Linked DNA regions of Caenorhabditis elegans. The protein of the gene in region 3 purifies or fractionates together with the protein of the main gene of each other region. This does not show direct contact. Each region holds a gene or a part of one and is shown on either strand. Other genes may lie near its edges.

Region 1 (4,783 bases), on a different chromosome or scaffold from region 3:
AAAAATTTGCTCTTGGATTAGTAATAAGGTACTCCCCAATATCGTCCATTGAATTATCATTGTGCTTCTCACCTGAATTTCAAATCAAATTTTAACAATCCACGTACCACCATACTAAATCCTTTCATAGTGATAACTTTAGCCTTCTTAGTTCCAGTGAATTCAGTTAATGGTTCATATTCAGTAATGAACATAACAACATCGTGACCTGCGTCAACGAGTGCATCAGCAATTCTTCCATTTGAAATTAAATGACTTCGACTAATGGATGGACTGTACACAAGAATAGAAGAAAAAGAACAAGAAGAAGGAGAAGAATAACTAATAAGGTCATAACAGTCACCTGCAACTTTTTCTAAATCAATAATTTTTTAGAATAAAAATTTAAAATGGGTTCCAAAATACTTTAAAACTGATTAGAACTGAACCGCAATATAATAAGACAGAACATTTGAAAAGTATACAACCTGAAGTTTATCAATTTATATAACTTTTTCATTCTGGCGGTGTGCTACTCGTTGTCAACTACGGTTTTTGGCAGAAAAATGTCGTGCTTTGTAAACGCAGAATGTTTTATTTTCAACAGGAAAAAAGATGATAATAATTGGAACACTAATTGATGGTAGAAAGTGGTTTCTTCAATTTTAAGGCATTGGTTGAAAAATCTAGCAGTGGAAGATGTTTTTAAGCTGTCTGGAATTTCCGTTTCTTGCACGATTCGTTTAACCCGTTGTTTTGGGCCACAAACAGTTTGAAACAAATAGAAATTCAAAAGCCAGACTTCAGATTGTCTGGAATCCGAAAAAATACCGGCCGGTACCACATTGACGCTTTTAAAATTTTTAGAATGAGGCCATAACATTGTAGAAAAGATTAAAGTCTACTTTCTATTTTCGTTAAGTCTTGTATGCTTAATTCACCTGAACACCTACTGGAAAATAACATTTATTTTTAATATTTTTATTAAAAGAGACTATAAATATCAGCTAATTATTTTTCTTAGATTTTTTAATATTCGACTGAGATCTCTTCTTACAGCACAGAAACTTGAAAGCATAAATGAAAACGTGAAGAACAGCAACGAACACGAATAGGACAAAAGCAATAACATCAAGATTATAATAAATAATTGTATTTAATCTTGATCCTTCCACGTGTAACTCTTCCAAAACGCCATGATCAATTGCAAATTGTGTCCATTTTGTAAGGCGTTCTTCTGGACTGAATGGCTTGTCTCTCATCATTTTCCCAATTCTTATCGCATTTTTTTTGTAACTTGGAGTGTTTAAAACTGTTAGAACTGTGTTTTTGAAGCTTTCATATCCAATATCCAATTTCAGAAGAACTTTGCCAATTCCTCTCTTTTCAACCATTCGTCCATTTCTAAATTGATCAGCAAAAACAGGAACAATTACAGTTGGAACTGCCTGGATAGCTGTTTCAACTAATCCATTAATTCCTCCATGCATTACAAAAAGCTTCAATCTTGGATGAGAAAGAATATCTACTTGTGGTAACCATTCAGCTACATCCACGTTTTTAATTCCTTCGACCAATTTCTTGGTATTATTGTCGCCTGCAAAAAATTAGTATCTTGACAAATTACTATGGGGGATTTATTTTTAAATTCTTCTGAAGCTTCTGCACTATTCGATGTACTCTGGAACCGTCAATTATTTACCTTTGGCAATTTTAATAAGGAAATGATAATCTGATATTTCCTGGATTGCACGCAATACCCCTTCCTTTGCCGCTGCTGGTAGATCTCCAAATGGTATGATTGAACCAAGTGAAATGATTACGACACCTTCTTTTCCTTTTGACATTATGTTTGTGAACTTCTAAAAAACTATATTCAGATAATTTTAAAATCAAATATTGTGTAACCTTATCAAGTGGTTTGCTAACTTTTGGAATTCCCAATCCACCGACATAAATTGCTTTTGTGATAGTTGGTCTTGGTAAATCAAGTACTTCATCGGAATTTACAAAGCAAAGTGAAGAGTTTGCAGCGATTTCTCTGACATTTGGGAAGTCTGGGATGTACTTACGGAAGACCTGTGATTAGTGAAAAAGATTAGTTTTAGGTTAAATTAAAATAAACTACCTCTGTAGTTCCATCAGTTCCGTATCTATGAATAAGGATTGAACCAATTTTCATATACAAGTTGAAAGTTCTCTGCCAAAAATCCATCTTATCACCATTGTCATTTTCTTCGATTGTTGGAACATACGAACTTGGTGCTGGAATTCCCAAATTATAACTAACTGCATCCATAATTGGTGTAGTTGAAATCCATAAATGATTTTTAATTCCAAGATATCTGACAATTCCAACTCCACACAAATCAATTTGTTCACTGAATGCCACGTCGAAGTTGTAAGCTCTCAGTTGTTCTAATTCCTCGCGTCTTGTCATTAAATCTAAATTTTAAAAAATGTTTCGAAAATAATATTGGGTCTTGTCACCATCACACGCGCCTGTGCACGTTTTCTCAAACATTAATCTTTCCAAAAAGCTTAATCTGGAGCTCGATAATAGGTATTCTCCGATTCCATCCATGTCTTCAGCAAACTTTGTACCTGAAACAGTGTTTTTAGTGTTGTTAGAGTCAAATCATAACTCACTAAATCCTTTCATAGTGATAACTTTAGCCTTCTTAGTTCCAGTGAATTCAGTTAATGGTTCATATTCAGTAATGAACATAACAACATCGTGACCTGCGTCAACGAGTGCATCAGCAATTCTTCCATTTGAAATTAAATGACTCCGACTTATGGATGGACTGTACACAAGAATTTTTCCTGCATCAACTGCTAGAAGAGATAGGAGAAGAAATAAAAAGGTATACATGCCCAAGATGGATCTGAAATTCAAAACGTTCAAATTCACGTATTATCAACTCCTGAAACTACTGAAAATAAAAAAAAGATTCAATAGAATGCACATTCGAAAAATCGAATACGAACGTGAAATATAACAATTATCTTACTGTTAAAAACACTTTGTGTGTCTTATCTATAAATTCTTCTATACCCATTTTCATCGAACCTTTATCAATTTAGTGAAAGGTCGATAAAATTCAAGAAGCTACAAAGAACCACGTTTTCACATGAATAGTACTAGAAATTCAACAAAATAAAAATTAAAAAAAACAAGAGAAACACACAGTGAAAAATGAAAAAAATAATCGAATCATGGAACGATTGGCAGCGGAAACAGAAATGAAATATGAAGGGAGAGAAATGGCAGACAGTAGCACCCTAACAATTTTCATTTCAATGAATCAGAATTCATTGGAGAATGAAGAACAAAAAATATATGAAAATTATTTTTTCACCTACGAAATCACAAAATGAGAAATCTGAAATTACATTTGATGGTTCACTTTTACAAACTCGAATAACCCATATTTTATAGAAAAATTTAAAATGCAGGTCTTTAATTTTTTAAGTTTTGATATTTTTAAAAAATTGGTTTCTTCACTTCTTAATACTGAAAGGAAATGAAGCATTATGGGAGAACTTTGTTCGTAACTTGTTCTTTAGGAAAAAAATAGTGCAGATGTCGTCTGGCACAAATTGATTCAACAATGATCTCGACAGTATTTTGACTTATTGGTCGAAACATCTACTCTAAAAAATACCGTGTTTTGTAGACTATTTCTAGTGAGTGCTTGTAGTGGTTAGACATAAGAATTAGATGGTGATACAGAGAAAACACAACCATTCACTGATACATTGACAGTTTTTGGACAAATAGTGACTGATGACAAGAATAGAAAATGACACGGGAACAAGATTGTTTGATAGGTAGAACCCGAGAATAGATTACTGATACGAGAGAGACGCAGATGGTTGTTGTGAATTGTAATAATTGAACTACATGTGACACGGCGAGAATGGTTATGGGAATTTTTGAGCGATTTTAAGATCCTGAGAAAAATGTTTGGGCGTACTTTGTTGGCAAACATGAAACAAGTTTACCAAACGAGGGAATTTTGTGGGGTAAGGTATGATTCCTGAATGCCAGAACGAAAATTCAGGTTTTTAATTCTTAAGTTTTGATATCATGAAAAAATGAGTTAGAAAGTTGAAGAGTATGGAAGAAACATACGCGTCTAAATAAGATGGAAAAACTCTATAATCTTCTGCAAGTATAGATAAGATATCAAATTCCTATTATGGACTGTCACTTATTTATTAGATATACCATTTACCTACACTTGTAAATCATATCTTATCTGCCAAGTTGGTACATCCTTACTATTAGTCTCAGGTCCTGACAATAATGATTTCAGAAAATCCCAAATGTAGTAAACCTTCGAAAAATAACTTATTCGATTTTTGAACTTTGAAAAGGGTTTCGGGTTATTCTCTGCAAACAAATACAAACAGCTTTCCTATCTGAAATATATATTTCAGATGTATACAGAACATGTAACGCATACACTCTAGCTACCTTATTACTGAATTTCATTGAAATCCCTATTAGTACTGCACTCTAATAGCTACTTTTGCAACACCAAACCGCAAAAATCCAAAGATTTCCAATACATATGTTTTATCAGTTTATAGTCTCATTTTTCGCCCCTATTTTTGGTGCCTTCCTACTTAAAATTCCGATTGGTGTACCAAAAATGAGTAGTCTCAAAATCGTAATATATCCTTTGTTAGTCTTAACAGTCTTCTTAACAGAACAGGCACTCAATAAGACCAAATGAAAAATAAATATGTACTAATTGGAGAAATACAGTTTGCTGCCTTTATGGAAGTTTCAAAA
Region 2 (5,638 bases), on a different chromosome or scaffold from region 3:
CGGCGGCAGCAGCTTCTTCTTGGGTGGTGTAATCTTGCCAGATTTCGACAAGAAGGTCGTTCTTCTTCGAAGCCTTCATGACGGAGACAACGGTGTCGTTGAGAGGATCCTTGTTCTTCTCGAGCCAGTTCAACACGTTGTAACGGACAGTTCCGGCGTAATGCCGCATGGCGAAGTGAGCCTCTCCTTGCTTTCCCTTTGGTGGTTTTGGCTTTTCGAAGTTTGGATGCTTTCCAAGATGTTGATCGGTAAGCTTCTGGGCAAGAGTCATGTCAGTAGCCTTTGGAACAATACACTCCTCATCAAGCATAGAGATGATACCGAGTGGCTTCTCAATAAGCTCGATACAAGCTTGGAGATCAAGTCCGAAATCAATGAATGTCCATTGGATTCCTTCACGGGCGTACTCTTCCTGCTCAAGAACGAACATGTGATGGTTGAAGAATTGTTGGAGTTTTTCGTTGACGAAGTTAATCCAGAGCTGTTCGAAGGAATTGAAGTCGAAGATTTCGAATCCAGCAATATCGAGTACTCCGATGAAATAATCACGATCAATTCCCTTTTGATCAAGAGTAAGATTACATTTCTTGACAAGCCAGTGGAAGACACGAGCGTATAACCCCTTAGCCATGGCTCCAATAGCCCAGTGAACTTGATCAACGTTCTGTCCCTTGGATACCCATTCGGTTCCGACCTTGACTCTTGGAGACACCAAAGCCTTAAGGAATTGATCGACATCAATTCCGTACATGTTACAAGCTCTCTCAGCTTCATCTTGGCCATCTGGCTCGGCTTGCTCCTCACGTGGGCGTTGCTTGAATTTCATGTTACCCATGTGCATGTGAGCCGACATGAGTCTATAACAATCCATCTTCTCGGTGGGCGAGAATTTGAGAACATCAAAGGCCTCGTCGGTCAATTGGAACTCCTCAGTGTCATCGATTCCTGGAATAAAACAAGTTAATCTCATTCTCCAGAAATACAAAACATACCATCAATGAGCAACTCAGCTTGAGCAACAAACCAATAGTTGGAAATTGGATGGTTGAGAAGAAGCTCGTCACGGAGTTGTGGCTTAAAATCTGAGTAGATTTGGTAGAAGATATGGTAACAACGCTCTCCTGGAGCTTGACGGATGACACGAGATTTCTCGAGAAGATCTGAACAATTTACGATTTTCGTAATAACTTCTTATCATTATTATCAACTTACAGTGTTCAATATCGCAGGAAGCAAGAGTTCCGTGCTTGTTGAAGTGAATACGGATGAACTTTCCGAAACGGGAAGAATTGTTGTTACGGACAGTCTTGGCGTTACCTAAACAACCAAATTATCAGACAAGTGTTAATTTTTTAATTTATGTCTGTACCGAAAGCTTCCAATACTGGATTGGTTTGAACGATCTGGTCTTCAAGGGTAACTTCCTTCTCTCCCTCCTTCAAAGCAGCCTTTTGTGAAGCTCCGACGGTGGCAAAGTAGCAAATAACCTTCTTTGTGTTTTCAGTCTTTCCGGCTCCAGATTCTCCGGTAATAAGCATAGACTGATTCTCATGGTCTTGAAGCATGTAACGGTAGGCTTGATCAGAGACAGCGAACAAATGAGGTGGCATCTCGGTACGACGCTTGCCCATGAACATACGAGCAACAGAGTCAGTGTAAATTGGGAGACGTTTGTATGGGTTGATGACAACGCAGAAAAGTCCAGAGTAGGTCTGAAAATGGGCAAATTGGAACATTTTGTTTCAGTCAATATCCCATTTTTATAGAACTTACTTCTTTAAATTTCAGTAGTATTCAAATTTAGTTATTTTTTGGAACGATATTTTTATATTCTCAATACTGCCTTTGTTGAATCACATATTTTTAGTACCATTCCAATTTCAGTCCAAAATTCCAATATAAATTTTCTCTTTACTCACTGTGCACATTGAGCATGACTCTCTTTGTTTCTCATCGTCTGTCTCGATCCACTTAAGATAGCATTTTGCCACTTTTGCGTGGGCGCACTATTTGCCTATCCAACTACGCATTTTCGCAGATCTTTTTTCCGTGTTTCTATTTGAAGTTTTTTGAAACTGAAAAAACTTACATAGATAAGCATAGCAGCGTAACGGGAACGCAAATTCCACAGAACGGAGGCGTCATTAAGGAAAGTCAAGTTGGACATGTCTTCGGTTTTCTCGAACTTTGGTGGATTGACTTCTTGAACGATATCCTTCTTCAAAGTTACATCTTTGCCTCCGGCGGTAACGATAACAGTATCGGCCTTTGGTCCTGGACCCTTAATAACTCCCTCAATGTATCCTTCTTCGGCATCTGGAATCCAGACGTTCTTCTTCGAATCGTATGGGCGGGATTGATCCTGTAAAATAAAAAAAATATAAAAATTAATTTATATTCATACATAGTTATAAAATAATTATTATCCTAAATATCAAAACGGTGAAGTTTAGAAGCTTTAAAAATAACGATCTACCGAAAAACCGGTAAGAATTTTAAGAGATTGAACCTTGAAAATATGTTTAAAAAAGTAGCCAAGAAACAATTTTTAATATTTTGCTGTAAAAATGCTCACTTAACCACTTTAAAATAACTCTATTGTAATTGAAAAAGTTTCATTTTAAAGTTTATCAGAACATATTCAACAAGTAAAATAAAGATTGAATCTTGTTCTAGTTGGAAAATTAAATTGAATTGTTTCTATACTCAAAATAGATGAAATATTATTTGTCGAGAGAAGGACAAATTGGGAAAATACGGTATTTTATTAGGTTCAAAACTGAAGGAACAATTCGTTATTAGAAGTGTATAAAAAGCAGCGACTTCAGATAAATTTCGAATATTTTGGAATTTGAGAAGATTAGGATTTATGAGGAGAAAAAATACGTCGAATGTAAACCTAGGAAAAAGTAGAAAGTAAAATGAAAGAAGTAAAATCTTACCGCGAGCTGTTGCTCTCTCGACCTTTTCAGGTACTGCCATCCTGGGTCCTTCTCGTGTTCGAGCGACATTCTTGATTTGTTTCAGTGGAAATTAAAACGAACGGCTAATTGAAAAATGAGGCTAAACAGGTGGGTGACTTCTTCTTTTTCTTCCTACTGCTGCACTGCACACAGCTCCACACTACTGTGCTCTGCAGGGACGGATAATAGTTTGGCACACACAAGAGAGAGCTTCACTCGGCACACTTCATAGGGCGGAGCAACTCAAACTCCCCCTCATCTTCCTCTCTTGCTTAGCGCCCGTGCGCAAGAAAGGGGGCTCTCCGATATCCACACAATGAACTGTTGCCGAGAGCATCAAACGTCTCTTGGATGTGCATTGTCCATACGTTTTGAGCTTTTGCGTCGCCAGTCCAAGTACTTTATCTTTCAGGTTCATCGAAAGAGTATGTTAAATTGAGAAACGAAGAGATTACTGTAGAACTTGTTGAAAAAATCAGAGGAGGGGGTTCTTTCGGAATGAGCCCGCGCTTTTTTGAGCACACATTATTATTGGATAGAGACATACGTAAGAGATTTTTGAGAGTAAGCGCTTGGAACTTGTGGGAGTAGATAAAAAAATGTAGAAAAAAAATTAAGGGATTCATTCTTAGTTTACTTATATTTGTATAAAAAATTGGAATCAGTGATTTCAGTAACCTGGACCAGCAAACTGGTCTTATTTTATTATTAGAAACAACACTATTAGAACATTAATGAATACTGTGTAAGAAATCCGAATAATAATAATAGATCTAAATCGGATTTGGACACAATTATTTAGAAAAATTTTAAAAAAAGCGACGTTTTGAGTTTAAAAAAATATTTTTGCTTCCATCGTGTTCTTTGAAGTACATTCAAAGTTGGATGCTTTGTCGTTGAAAACATTTGTCTACATTAAAATTCAGAAATCCATCAAAAAATTTAACATGAGAAAATGTTATATAGAAACTGTGCTGCCAAATAATATTCAATATAGTGTACCTTAATACCTCAAGCAATTTTATAAGTATTTATTTTTTTTGTCAAACCATGATATTCAACCTTAACGTTTTCATTTAAAAATCACTATTTTGTATTCGCATAGTTCATTCGCGATGTGCGCATACTCATTTCGATTGAGGACCGGTACGATATGTGTTTCACGAAAACGAGCATCCGCAATGCACTCACTGCGAGGCGCGTTTGGCACATTGTGGCCGACTTCGTTGGGGATGTGTGCCACAATATCACTGCTGCGAAGATCTCTCTGGACATATTATGTGCTGATCAGATATTAGTCTCCCAGCTAGGAATTAACTTTTCAGATTATTAGTTATAGATTGTTTGAGAAACCTGTTTTTTTAACTGTTGCAAATAACGTTTTTTTTGTAGCTTAACCTAACTTTCATATCCATTCTCTCCAAAAATGTGTTGTAATAATGATGAGAGACCAAGTGGCATTGGTGAAGGAAGTTTCACCGAATCTCTCGACTTTTTTGTGCCATGTCTTTGCTCCCCCATCCCACACTCGGATACTTCTGCGCATCCTCCGCTCGCCTTTTCTTCGAATTTTTCTCGTTTTTCTAATAGTAATATTTGCCCAATTTCTCCCCCATCTATATCTCTCACACAGTATTTGTATGTGTGTGCGTAAATGTGTGTGTGTCTGTTTCTTTTTGAGATTTTCGCTCCTCTTATTCATCTTTGTTCTCGGGGCCACCCCCTGAAATTCAAAGTGAACACGGGAACACCGATCAAGTATGTACATCGACCAAGAATTGAAATCATTTTCTCCTAGTTAACAGTCTGGAAACACGAAAAGTTGAATTAGTTTGTTTCTCAGCAAATTGAAATAAAAAATTAAAGTTTCTAAAAACTTTTAAGAAGACTCTCGAAATTTCTAAGATTTCTGTGACATGTACCATTCTTTTTCCTTGTAAGTATTGCTGATCTACTAGAAAATGTTGTTTCAGAATTTTTTCTTAAAAAATTCAAAGGATAAGTTAATTAAAAAATTACAATAAATATATATGCAAAAAGGATTCTGATGGCAAAAATATTCCCAACATTTTCGATATTTTTTAAAGAATAATGAAATTAGTTAGTTTAAGACCTTTTTGAGTCTATTCCCACTTTAACCTTTACCAGAGAATGCCACTGTTTAATGACTGCGCTCAATATGCTGTCAATTTACTATTTTCTACTACATACAGTTATCAACCTATTAATAAAATGACTTTATGTTCTCAAGTTTGTTTCCAAATACTGAAACGAAAAATTAAGCTCGTAGTCAGCTGGGGAAAAATGTTTCATTTATTTCCATAGAAATAATACAATCAGAACAATGAGTTTCTTTCGTTAAAAAATTACGTATTAAAGCCACTTGTTTTGACCAGGTGAATTGACAAAGTAACACATTATTGATATCCGTTTCTTTTTTTGTTTCGAAAAATCTAAAATTGCAGAATATCTACACATCTTGTTGCAGTAAAAGTCGACCATCACTGTGTACCCGATGAGCTTTCTTCCGTAAATCAAGTGATGTAATTGCTTCTTTTGACTCAATATTGCTGTCCTAAACATATGAAATATCACTTAGAAGCAATTTCAGTTAACTTACAGAGGCCGGTTTAGAAAATGGAATCTTTGGATGATGGTGGTGACCGTGTATTCCT
Region 3 (3,733 bases):
AACAGAGCAAATATTGATTTTCACACAATCTTCAAAGTTTTGACATACGCAGTGATTTTTGATTTTAGGATTTGCAGCTATTTTTGAAATCAATAATTTTGATGTCATTGAATAACAGACAAAAATTGTGTTTCGAACTATACTCTCATTGGAGACAATTCAGAAACGATTCAGAAAAAAAAACCTTCCATCAGAATTAGTGTGACAAGAGGTTCTTACTCATATCCTAAATTAACAAGGATAACTTTTTTGATTCCTCAACTTTCAAACTTTTTCATCTGATTTTCTATTGAGTGTTCTGTCTACCAGTGCTCTTATCTGAAAACAGCTTTTAAGATAATGCGTCAGCTGGCAGAAACGCTTTTAATTTTGCTTCCTGTTTGTTAACTTATTTTTGAAACGTTTTACTTCGAAAAGAGTTAATTTTTTGGTTTGTTTGTAAATTTGAAAAAATCATTTAATGTTTATTATGAGCGTATTACAAATGTTCGTAAAAGTTATTATTATTATCACTCCACAATTTCCGTTTGTAAAATGAATAATTGAATTTTTTTTTCCAATATACATCAAACAAAATTGTGAAAAAATTGCTTTAACGAAATTGAAGCATAAACAATAGTTCTAATTCCAATTACAACAATTTGTGTAAATCAAATGTTTCCTCTGAAAACTTCAAACAGTAAACCATTAATGTTTTGAAAAGTACGATGATGGTCTGGAAAACGCGCTTTGAAAATTTGTTACAACACGTTAGAATCACAAGTTCAGATTAGCTGTCGCCTCTAAAAATCAATTGTTGAACAATGTCTTCTTCAATTTTTTGATAATCAGCAAGCACAACTACTAGAAACAAAATATACAATTTTAAAGTTGGCAAAGAAACATTGGATACAATTTTCCAGTCGCTTGGCATTTTTGTTGAACATAATTTCAATTTTTCGAAAAATTTATGTTTTGTAATGTTTTATTTTGATTTCCATACTTATGAAGTAGTAAAGATTTCTACTGGGCTCATGAGATACAAAACAATCTGAACATTCAATTTTTTATCTTCGGAAAAGTTCTTGCTAGAAAAACAATAAAAACCACTTATAAACATTCCTTTCAATTGTTCTCTTTTTACGAACTTGTTAATTTGTCTTCAGCCATTAGAAACAATATTCGATGTTACATGTTTTCATTCAACATTCAAAGTTATATTCTTTCTAATTCCTATTTTGTGTTAATGGGCCACCCTCAGTGCAACTCTGATCATTCATCTCCCAAAAATCCCTAGATTCCCTGCTCTCCACCCTCGCTTTTCTGCGCGCAGCAAAAAGCCTACCACCTTAACTTTTACCTGCTTTTGAGAGAGATGTACTTGAGAAAATATTCGAAGCCAAACAGTTGGCTTTTCCAAAAATTCTCTCCCCCATGCGTTGCCGCAACTCTGTAGATATTTGCGTTTGTCGTTTCTTCACAAACAGATATTGCGTATATCTTCCCGGCCGTGTGAGGGTGATCAGAAAGTCTGAGATCCCCAAAGAGAGCACAGACACGGCGCACGGATCACGGGCACTGCTCTTTCTAGCGCTCTTTGTGTCGAGCTTCTGCTTGGGACACATTATCTCTGCTGGCAAAACTGATCGCTGCCCGCTGTGTTACACTCTATCTCAAACGGCATCCCGGGAATCTGCCACCCTCCACCAATTGCCTACTAACTTTGCCCGCCGTGGAGAGAGCACCTCCTCTCGGTCTCTTTTCGTATCACATTCCTCCCATCCAGCTACTCCTCCTTCCCATACGCCTACCAACCAACCATTATTATCTCAATGCTCTCGACAAGATCGGGACTTGGAAAAGGCTTCTTCTTCATACTTTTCATGGGTGCATTTTTAATTTTAATTTGTTCGTTTCCCAAGCAATTTACTTCTATCATTGTTTCGACAATTTTGTGTGCTACCTGTAAACAAATAACTGAGTTTCAGGTAGAGAACCTTTTCCAACATGTCCAAGGCCGCCAAGAAGAAGTCCTCAAAGAAGCGCTCGGGATCCGAGGCCGCCCAATTCGACCAGAAGACCATCCAGGAGTTCAAGGAGGCCTTCGGAATCATGGATCAGAACAAGGACGGAATCATCGACAAGGTTAGCTTTTTTTAAGTTTTAAAATGATACTAATGAACAATTTTTAGTCTGACCTCAAGGATCTCTACGCATCCATGGGACAAATCGCCCCAGACAGCCAGATCGACGCCATGATCAAGGAGGCATCCGGACCAATCAACTTCACCGTCTTCCTCACCCTTTTCGGGGAGAGATTGACAGGTAGGCTTTTCAGATTTTCTAATGGAATTCAATTCATTATTGCAATAATTTCAGGAACTGACCCAGAGGCCACCATTGTTGGAGCTTTTGCTATGTTCGATAAGAAGGACTGCGGAAAGATCAAGGAGGACGACCTTATCAAGATCCTTCAAAACAAGAGAGGAGAGCCATTAGACGAGGATGAGGTCAAGGCTATGTACAAGGTAAATTCATTCTTTCTGAAATCATTGAAACTTACCAATTCCTCTTCTTTCAGGGAAAGCCACCAATCGAGGGAGGAGAGGTTGACTACAAGGCATTCGCTCACCTCATCACCACCGGAGCCCAAGACGAGCTCGCCAGCGCCTAAACATCCGGCAATTGCACACAAATCTTACATTCTTTCAAATAATACTTTCTCATTTATTTCTCCAATTATAATCTTTCAATGGATTAGTGCAATAAATGGTGGTGATAAAATTAGTTGATACCAATGACTTCTAATGTTATTTTATAAAAAGGCTAATAGGTATTGGGGAAAAAAGTGATGAATAGTTTGAAAAAGAAATGCGAGAGGTGGAAAAGGCAACAAATCTGTACTGGGTGTCTATCACAATTGGAACAAATCTTAATGAGAAAATATGTTTCAATAAGGTTCATTACAGAGTTACCAGATGTCTGATAACCCGAGCTACGTTGAATTTTAAAAGTAAAATAGTTAGAAGATTACTTTTGATTCAATAACTGCATTGAAATTTACATTTGATTAAGATATCCCACGGTAAATAATTGATGATCATCACAATAATAACAATAGAATTTACAAGGTCTCGAATCATTCCATCATGTCCTCTTGAGGTGGATCAGGCACTGGAGATGGATGTGTCCCACTGCTACTTGGTCCTTCCACAAATGACATCACAGCGAGTTGCCGATGGAATGGATCCATTGGTTGCGCGGAGACTTCCATCGCGGCTTCTGCTTCAGTAAGTGGCCGCACTCGAATGATAACCCAGATTGATTCTGAAAATGTGGAAACATTAAAATTATGAGGTTTCTGAAGTAGCTGAATAATATTTAAGTCTTTGAAGAAATTCGATTAGTTTCAAAAAAATTATCTTTGCTGATTTGTACAAGCCGTTTTGAACCTGAGTTTATATTTACGTTTTAAGGTTTATTTTAAATTTATTTTCTATATTTCACTGATTTTCTTCATTTTTGTGGTTTTTTAATCGGAAAATAAAAGAAATATACAAGAAAAATGCAAATAGTTCATGAAAAAATCACTGAAATTGCCTAAAACTCTGAAATTATGTGATACGACGACAACGAGCCTGAAATTAGTATATTTTACAGTTTTAGGCAATTTCAGTGATTTTTTCATGAACTATTTGCATTTTTCTTGTATATTTCTTTCATTTTCCGATTAAAAAACCCCAAAAATGAAGAA
Region 4 (5,994 bases), on a different chromosome or scaffold from region 3:
ATATGAAGGGTTTTATCGATGAAAATGGATTTTTCTGGAAAATGGTCTGTAACTCGACTGAAGTTTGAATTCTTGGAAAGATTTTGTGGAGAAATGTGAAAAAATATCTATAAACCCTATTTTAACTTATATGACATTCATAACTTGCTTATTTCATGAGATACATCCGTTTCATCAAAATTAGTTTCAGATTATTTGTGCAATTTTGTTCATGGATTACTATCTCTAGGAAATACCAACCTTACTGGTGCAAAACTAGATGCAAACTGTAGGAATTGAAATTTCAATCAATTTCACAGCAGGCAGTTTCTTTTGAATATGCTTAGTTGTCAAAATACTCCTGTTTGAAATTTCTAGAATCTAAGAGTGGCAACAGTTTTTCAGGTGAAAAGTATATTCCAAGAGTTGCCAGTCGGAAAAAACGCTTCAAAATTGTATGAAAAGTTTACAGAGCTTCAGTTCATATTAATATTTTTTGTTTTGTTTGAGAAATTCAGCTTAAAGCGAGAAAAGTACCTAACTCTCAATTAATGTTTCCAATTGCTATATAAATACCAATTTTGTGACAAGTATATCTTGAAAAGCAGAAATTTTTGCACAAAATGTTTGACTGAGAAATTAATGGAAAATATCTTATCTGTCTGTCACAAAAACCTGCTTATTGATAAGTATCCTAGTTTCAGAGATACATGACTTCAAAGTTATTTTACCAAAAAACGTCCAAAAACTTTGGTTCCTCTTCCGTTACAACGGTGTATCTACCACAAGAAAGATTTTTGTGAGATATTTTTATTGATTTAACATTTTATAGATATTTTCAAAAATAATCTGTAAACTTTTTTCAAATAACTTCAACTTCAATATAGGTTACAGGCCATTTTCCAAAAAAAATCCATTTTCATCGATAAAATCCCTCATATCCAACGTAGAAACTTGAGATTTGGATGAAACATCGTAATTTTTGGTGCTCTATCAAGTTCCTTTAAAAAAATTTTGAAAAATCTGCACATCTCCAAAATCGTCCTCCGCTCTGAAAAACTAAATCGGACTTTTGCCTTTCAAAAAATCTACATTTGAAAAGAAGGCGTGGTCTAACGCACGTTTTTCCCCGTGAATGGCGGAACCCTGATTGTCATCGGCTGCTTTATTGTTTTAAAATAGCATATTTTCTCAATTTTACTTGCACCTGTGGTTTGACGGCTTATATCTCGGTTGCCTTAACGTTTATCAAAAAATTTTCAACAATCAAAATATAGAGAAAAATTTTGTACGTGTTTTGTCCGTTGACACTTCTTTAATATGACTAAAGACAACTGAGATACTGAGACTGAGACTGTCAAACAAGAGCAAAGGGGTCTAATAGGGGAAATACGGTCATTTTATTTGTCAGAGACTTTCATGATTTACAGGTTTTAAAGGGCTAAACTGAAACAGCTACAATGAAGCGTGATGAAAAAATTTGTCACTTCAAAAGCGTACTTCCATATTCTAAGTTTCTAAGTTTGAAAGCTTTTTCGTGGAGAATGATCAGAACCAAAAAGTTTTCTCTATTTCTTGTCATTATTTGCTCTTGACAGGTAAACCCAACCCACATCTATTCAGCCAGAATTGTAGTATTTTTTACGACTCGAACTTTGTTTCCATACTGGCACTCGCAACACATTTTTTTCAATACGACACCATAAAAAGGATGGCTTCAAAAAGCGAATTATTATAGTGATAAGCATATTTCTTCTTATCAATTAGCAACTCTATGCAACCTTCATTTCTTTAGAGTCTACCGCATTTTTATAGATTTTTTATTACGATTTTCATTAATTCTGATCATTGAGAGTCCATTTTATTCAGAATGTGTCGAACTCTACTTGGTGTAGCTTTTCTAGTTGTGACGGTCCTATCTCAAGGAGAAAAGGATTTGATCCAGAATCTGCCCGGTCTTTTGTTCAAAGCCAATTTCAAGTCATATTCTGGATATGTCGATGCAAATGCAAATGGAACATGGAAAATGCATTATATGTGAGTTTTATATTCTCGGCAAATCTGGAAATCTGAAGTCTTATTTTCAAGTGAACCATTAGTGAATGTATTTTTTTCGAATTCATTAGTTCTCAAAATTTCTCAAAATTCCAGCTTTTTGCTTTCATATAGTTTCTTAGATCTTCTTTGAAAAGTATACTCCTTACTCGAATGCACGTTTTTTTTGTGAAATTTCGCAGTTTACACAATGATTGAAGATCATTCTATTTTCGGAACTCATTGAACTTCAAAACGTATTTCTCATCAAAATTTCAAAAGTTCCCTTGAAATGTCATTTCTCAATTGAATAATCATCAATTCATTTTGTTGTCACTATTTCTTCTGTTTAATTTAAAATTTCCACCTCACGAAGCATCAAGTAGTCATCTAATTCAGTCATAATTCTTGTGTAATTCTCTGCAAATACAATTAAAAATTTACTGATAACGTTTTTCGCTGTCCATGCGAAAACTGATAAAATTATTGGAAATACAAATTAAAAAGAAATTGTGCTTCCAGGTTGACAGAATCTCGATCAAATCCAGATACTGATCCATTATTGGTATGGTTCAATGGAGGGCCAGGATGCTCATCTCTTGGAGGACTTTTCGAAGAACTTGGTCCATTTTATGTTAACTTTGATGGACAAACTCTTTATGAGAACCCATATGCATGGAATGCGGTAATTATTATTTTTGGGGAAAAGGATAAGCTGTTTGCAATTCCAAAGACCAGAGTTTTATTATGTAGTTAAAAGAATTTCAAATCAGATTCCTGTAACACTCGGTTGCCTATGAAAACCGAAATGATAATCATAACTTTCAGTTTAGACTACAACTCTTTTCGATCAAAGGCGGTTTGCTAATTACCATTCGAAGACCACGTTATGATATTTAGTTCTCGTTGAATTGATAGAGAAAAGAAAGTTTGAATAGAAAATAGTCTTGCTTACGCAAATTTCAAGTTTTATTGCTTTTTGCAATTTATCGTTGAAACCTCATTTATTGTATAGATAACAAATTTAGGCACATAAAACACAACTTTGTGTAGTTTAAAAATGAAACCAAATTGAAACATAAAAAGGGACAGGGACATGTATTAGGATAATAAAAACTATAAATTTAATATTTAAAATTTCAGAAAGCCAACGTTCTCTACTTAGAATCCCCAATTGGAGTTGGTTATTCATATGACACTACTACTCCAGGATACTTCCAAGCTAATGATGATCAATCAGCTGCACAGAATTATCAGGCTCTCACAAACTTCTTCAATGTGTAATTGAATTTTAAGTCTAGATACGTAACAGAAAAATGTTAAATTTCAGTGCTCAACCTAAATATACGAACAGAACATTCTATCTTTCTGGAGAATCGTATGCAGGAATTTATATTCCAATGTTGACCGATTTGATTGTACAAGGAATCAACAATCCCAATCAACCCTTTCCAAACAAAAACTTCCAGGTAAAATAATTACACAATTACTTCAAAACATGTCTAATTTAGGGTTCTGCAATTGGAAACGGATTCATGAATGTAGCTGGACTTCTCAATGCCCTTACCCTTTGGAGTGCCTACCATGGACGTGTCTCTGAGCAGTAAGAACATTTTAAAACTGTTTTGTTCGTTTTAAACTGAACTTATTTTTTCAGGAATTGGGCCGACATCAAAGCAAACTGTTCAAAGGGAGCCGACGTTGACAGTTTTGATTTCTCTCAATTCACAACTTCTCAAAATAAAATTGACTACGTAGGAGATGGCTCATACTGCGGAAACCTCATTCAACCACTCATTTCGCAAAACGCTTTAGGAAATGAAGGGTATGAGATTTTGTATTTTATATATTTAACGTAATTTTCAGATTTGACCAGTACAACTTCTACCAAGAATGCTATGACAAATCTGTCTTTCAAGCCCCACCACCAGCTGGAGGAAAGAGACACAAGAGAAGTGCTATGCAAGGAGTATCTTCGGTCCAGAAGAACTTGCAATATCAACAACTCGGAAACTTCCAAGGAACTTCCAATTTGGCAAAGAACACTGCTGTTAGTTTATCTTAGTTTGTTAATTGAAACGCTTGCTTCATTGTTCAGACTCTTGTCAACCGTTTCTCAAATGACAATCAATTTGGATATTTTTGCTGGAATGAAGATGCTGTGTCAAAGTATTTGAACAGTGACAATGTGCAGAATGCTCTCAACATTCCACAAGCATGGAAGGATCAGAAAAACACATGGGAAGATTGTAGAATGTCTATCTATAATAATTATACTCTGAAATACAACACTACCAATCGATTCTTCAACAATATCATCACAAATCTCACAACCGACTTCCGTTTCTTAATCTACAATGGAGATGTCGATACTGTTTGTAACTATTTGGGAGATGCCAAGCACATTCTTCAAGTTGCTAAAGATAATGGACTTACCGTAAGTCACTTCTACCGTTAAATAATATTCCAATTATATTTTAAGAGTGGGCCACGTACCCCATGGTATTACAGTAACAACCAACAACTTGCTGGATATGTTCAAACTTACTCTGGCAAAAATAAGAACAATGCTATGATCACAATTGATCTTCTGACTGTAAAGGGAGCGGGACACATGGTTCCATATGATCGTGCAGGACCATCAGTTCAAATGATCTCCAACTTCGTTTGGGCTCCAAAGAATGTTGTTATCAACTATACCAGTCAAGATAATTTCAATCCAAACATTCAACTTTCTGATTTGGTTGACAGTGGATCCTCATCAACTGTTGCTTTCTTCATTTCTATGTTCGCTGTATTGCTCAACATCGTTTTCTAAGTTTTTTTCTAATTTATTGATTCAAGACTATATATGTAGTAATGTTTTTTAAACATTTGAAAATTCAATAAAAATGTACATAATTATTAGATTTAAGCTTGAAGCAATTTTTGTTGCTCTACAGATTTTGGTGGTTGTTGAACAAAAATATCGTCGGCTTCTTCGATGTCAGGATTGTGCATTCCAAGGGAGAAATGATAGAACCATCCACCGACAAGAGCACCAACAAATGGAGCAATGGCTGGAGCTAGCCAATAGTTAGGGTATGGAGAGCTGAAATCATTATATGAGATATTTGTGAATTGACACTGTGAACTAACTGGAAAACACCTGGACCATAGATAAAATAACTGAAGAGTCGTGGTCCGAGATCTCTTGCTGGATTAATTGGATATCCAATGTTCATTCCAAATCCAGTTCCGATCATCATTACCAAGAATCCGAAGAACATTGGATGCCAAATTTTTGGAATTTGATTTCTCTCATCAATAACAACGCAGAGGAAGTATGCGAGAACTCCGGTACCGACGCACTGATCAATGTATGGACCCCATACTCCAAGATTTGGAGATGGATAACTGGCAAAGCAACCAGCTGTTCCAGTAGCTCCGAGGATTGTGCGATTACCTCCATCAAATGCATTGAATTGTTCTGAAAATTTCAAAATAATTTCAACAGGGAGAATAAGTAGGATACCATAGTAATAAGAGTACATTCCAAGAGAAGCCACGAAAGCTCCAGCGGTTTGAGCAATTGCGTACAGTGGCACCCAAGCAAGTTTGAGATGACCAAGAGACCAAAGTAGAAGGGAAACAGCTGGATTGAGATGACCACCTGAAAGATGTTGATAAAAGTTCTTAAAATAAAAAGAAAATTGAGCAGAAGATTTGATTCACAGAAATATTACCTGACATCCTAGCTGTTGCCATAACTGCAAACATAATTGCAAATCCCCATCCTATGTTAACTCCAATCCATTCAGTTGTCTTTCCACCGCCAGCATGGAATTGGAAAACAATTGAAAGACCGATAAACTAAAAAAAAATCAAATTTTCAAATTACTATTCAAGAAACTTAAAACTAACACAAAGAAGGAATGTTCCAAAAAACTCGGCGATGAGGTTCCTTGCCAAAATATTTGTGTGAACTCCGTGAAACCTCAG

Evidence for each region.
Region 1: the proteins of mlc-2 (region 3) and ugt-49 fractionate together in Caenorhabditis elegans (co-fractionation; one large-scale study listed by BioGRID). This does not show direct contact.
Region 2: the proteins of mlc-2 (region 3) and myo-1 purify together in Caenorhabditis elegans (affinity purification with mass spectrometry, with the first as the bait; one large-scale study listed by BioGRID). This does not show direct contact.
Region 4: the proteins of mlc-2 (region 3) and ctsa-3.1 fractionate together in Caenorhabditis elegans (co-fractionation; one large-scale study listed by BioGRID). This does not show direct contact.

The regions. Positions count from the first base shown.
Region 1 is NC_003283.11:10,370,411-10,375,193, reverse strand, and holds ugt-49 (UDP-glucuronosyltransferase), read right to left. Parts: upstream 2,874-4,783; 5' UTR 2,855-2,873; coding exon 2,629-2,854; intron 2,584-2,628; coding exon 2,470-2,583; intron 2,425-2,469; coding exon 2,108-2,424; intron 2,059-2,107; coding exon 1,888-2,058; intron 1,842-1,887; coding exon 1,682-1,841; intron 1,577-1,681; coding exon 987-1,576; 3' UTR 933-986; downstream 1-932.
Region 2 is NC_003279.8:7,263,925-7,269,562, forward strand, and holds the start of myo-1 (Myosin-1), read right to left. Parts: upstream 3,134-5,638; 5' UTR 3,012-3,133; coding exon 2,943-3,011; intron 2,363-2,942; coding exon 2,090-2,362; intron 1,713-2,089; coding exon 1,370-1,712; intron 1,318-1,369; coding exon 1,213-1,317; intron 1,161-1,212; coding exon 993-1,160; intron 946-992; coding exon 1-945. Other genes in the region: twk-1 (Potassium channel domain-containing protein), read right to left, coding at 5,434-5,538, 5,584-5,638. UniProt on the Caenorhabditis elegans protein: Muscle contraction.
Region 3 is NC_003284.9:17,454,821-17,458,553, reverse strand, and holds mlc-2 (Myosin regulatory light chain 2), read left to right. Parts: upstream 1-1,967; 5' UTR 1,968-1,986; coding exon 1,987-2,124; intron 2,125-2,171; coding exon 2,172-2,304; intron 2,305-2,358; coding exon 2,359-2,507; intron 2,508-2,560; coding exon 2,561-2,653; 3' UTR 2,654-2,762; downstream 2,763-3,733. Other genes in the region: C36E6.2 (Nbr1 FW domain-containing protein), read right to left, coding at 3,119-3,306.
Region 4 is NC_003280.10:7,231,005-7,236,998, forward strand, and holds ctsa-3.1 (Serine carboxypeptidase ctsa-3.1), read left to right. Parts: upstream 1-1,848; 5' UTR 1,849-1,849; coding exon 1,850-2,016; intron 2,017-2,535; coding exon 2,536-2,698; intron 2,699-3,156; coding exon 3,157-3,293; intron 3,294-3,343; coding exon 3,344-3,482; intron 3,483-3,524; coding exon 3,525-3,616; intron 3,617-3,670; coding exon 3,671-3,838; intron 3,839-3,879; coding exon 3,880-4,063; intron 4,064-4,111; coding exon 4,112-4,450; intron 4,451-4,495; coding exon 4,496-4,831; 3' UTR 4,832-4,916; downstream 4,917-5,994. Other genes in the region: aqp-1 (Aquaporin), read right to left, coding at 4,924-5,104, 5,152-5,482, 5,528-5,665, 5,739-5,865, 5,917-5,994.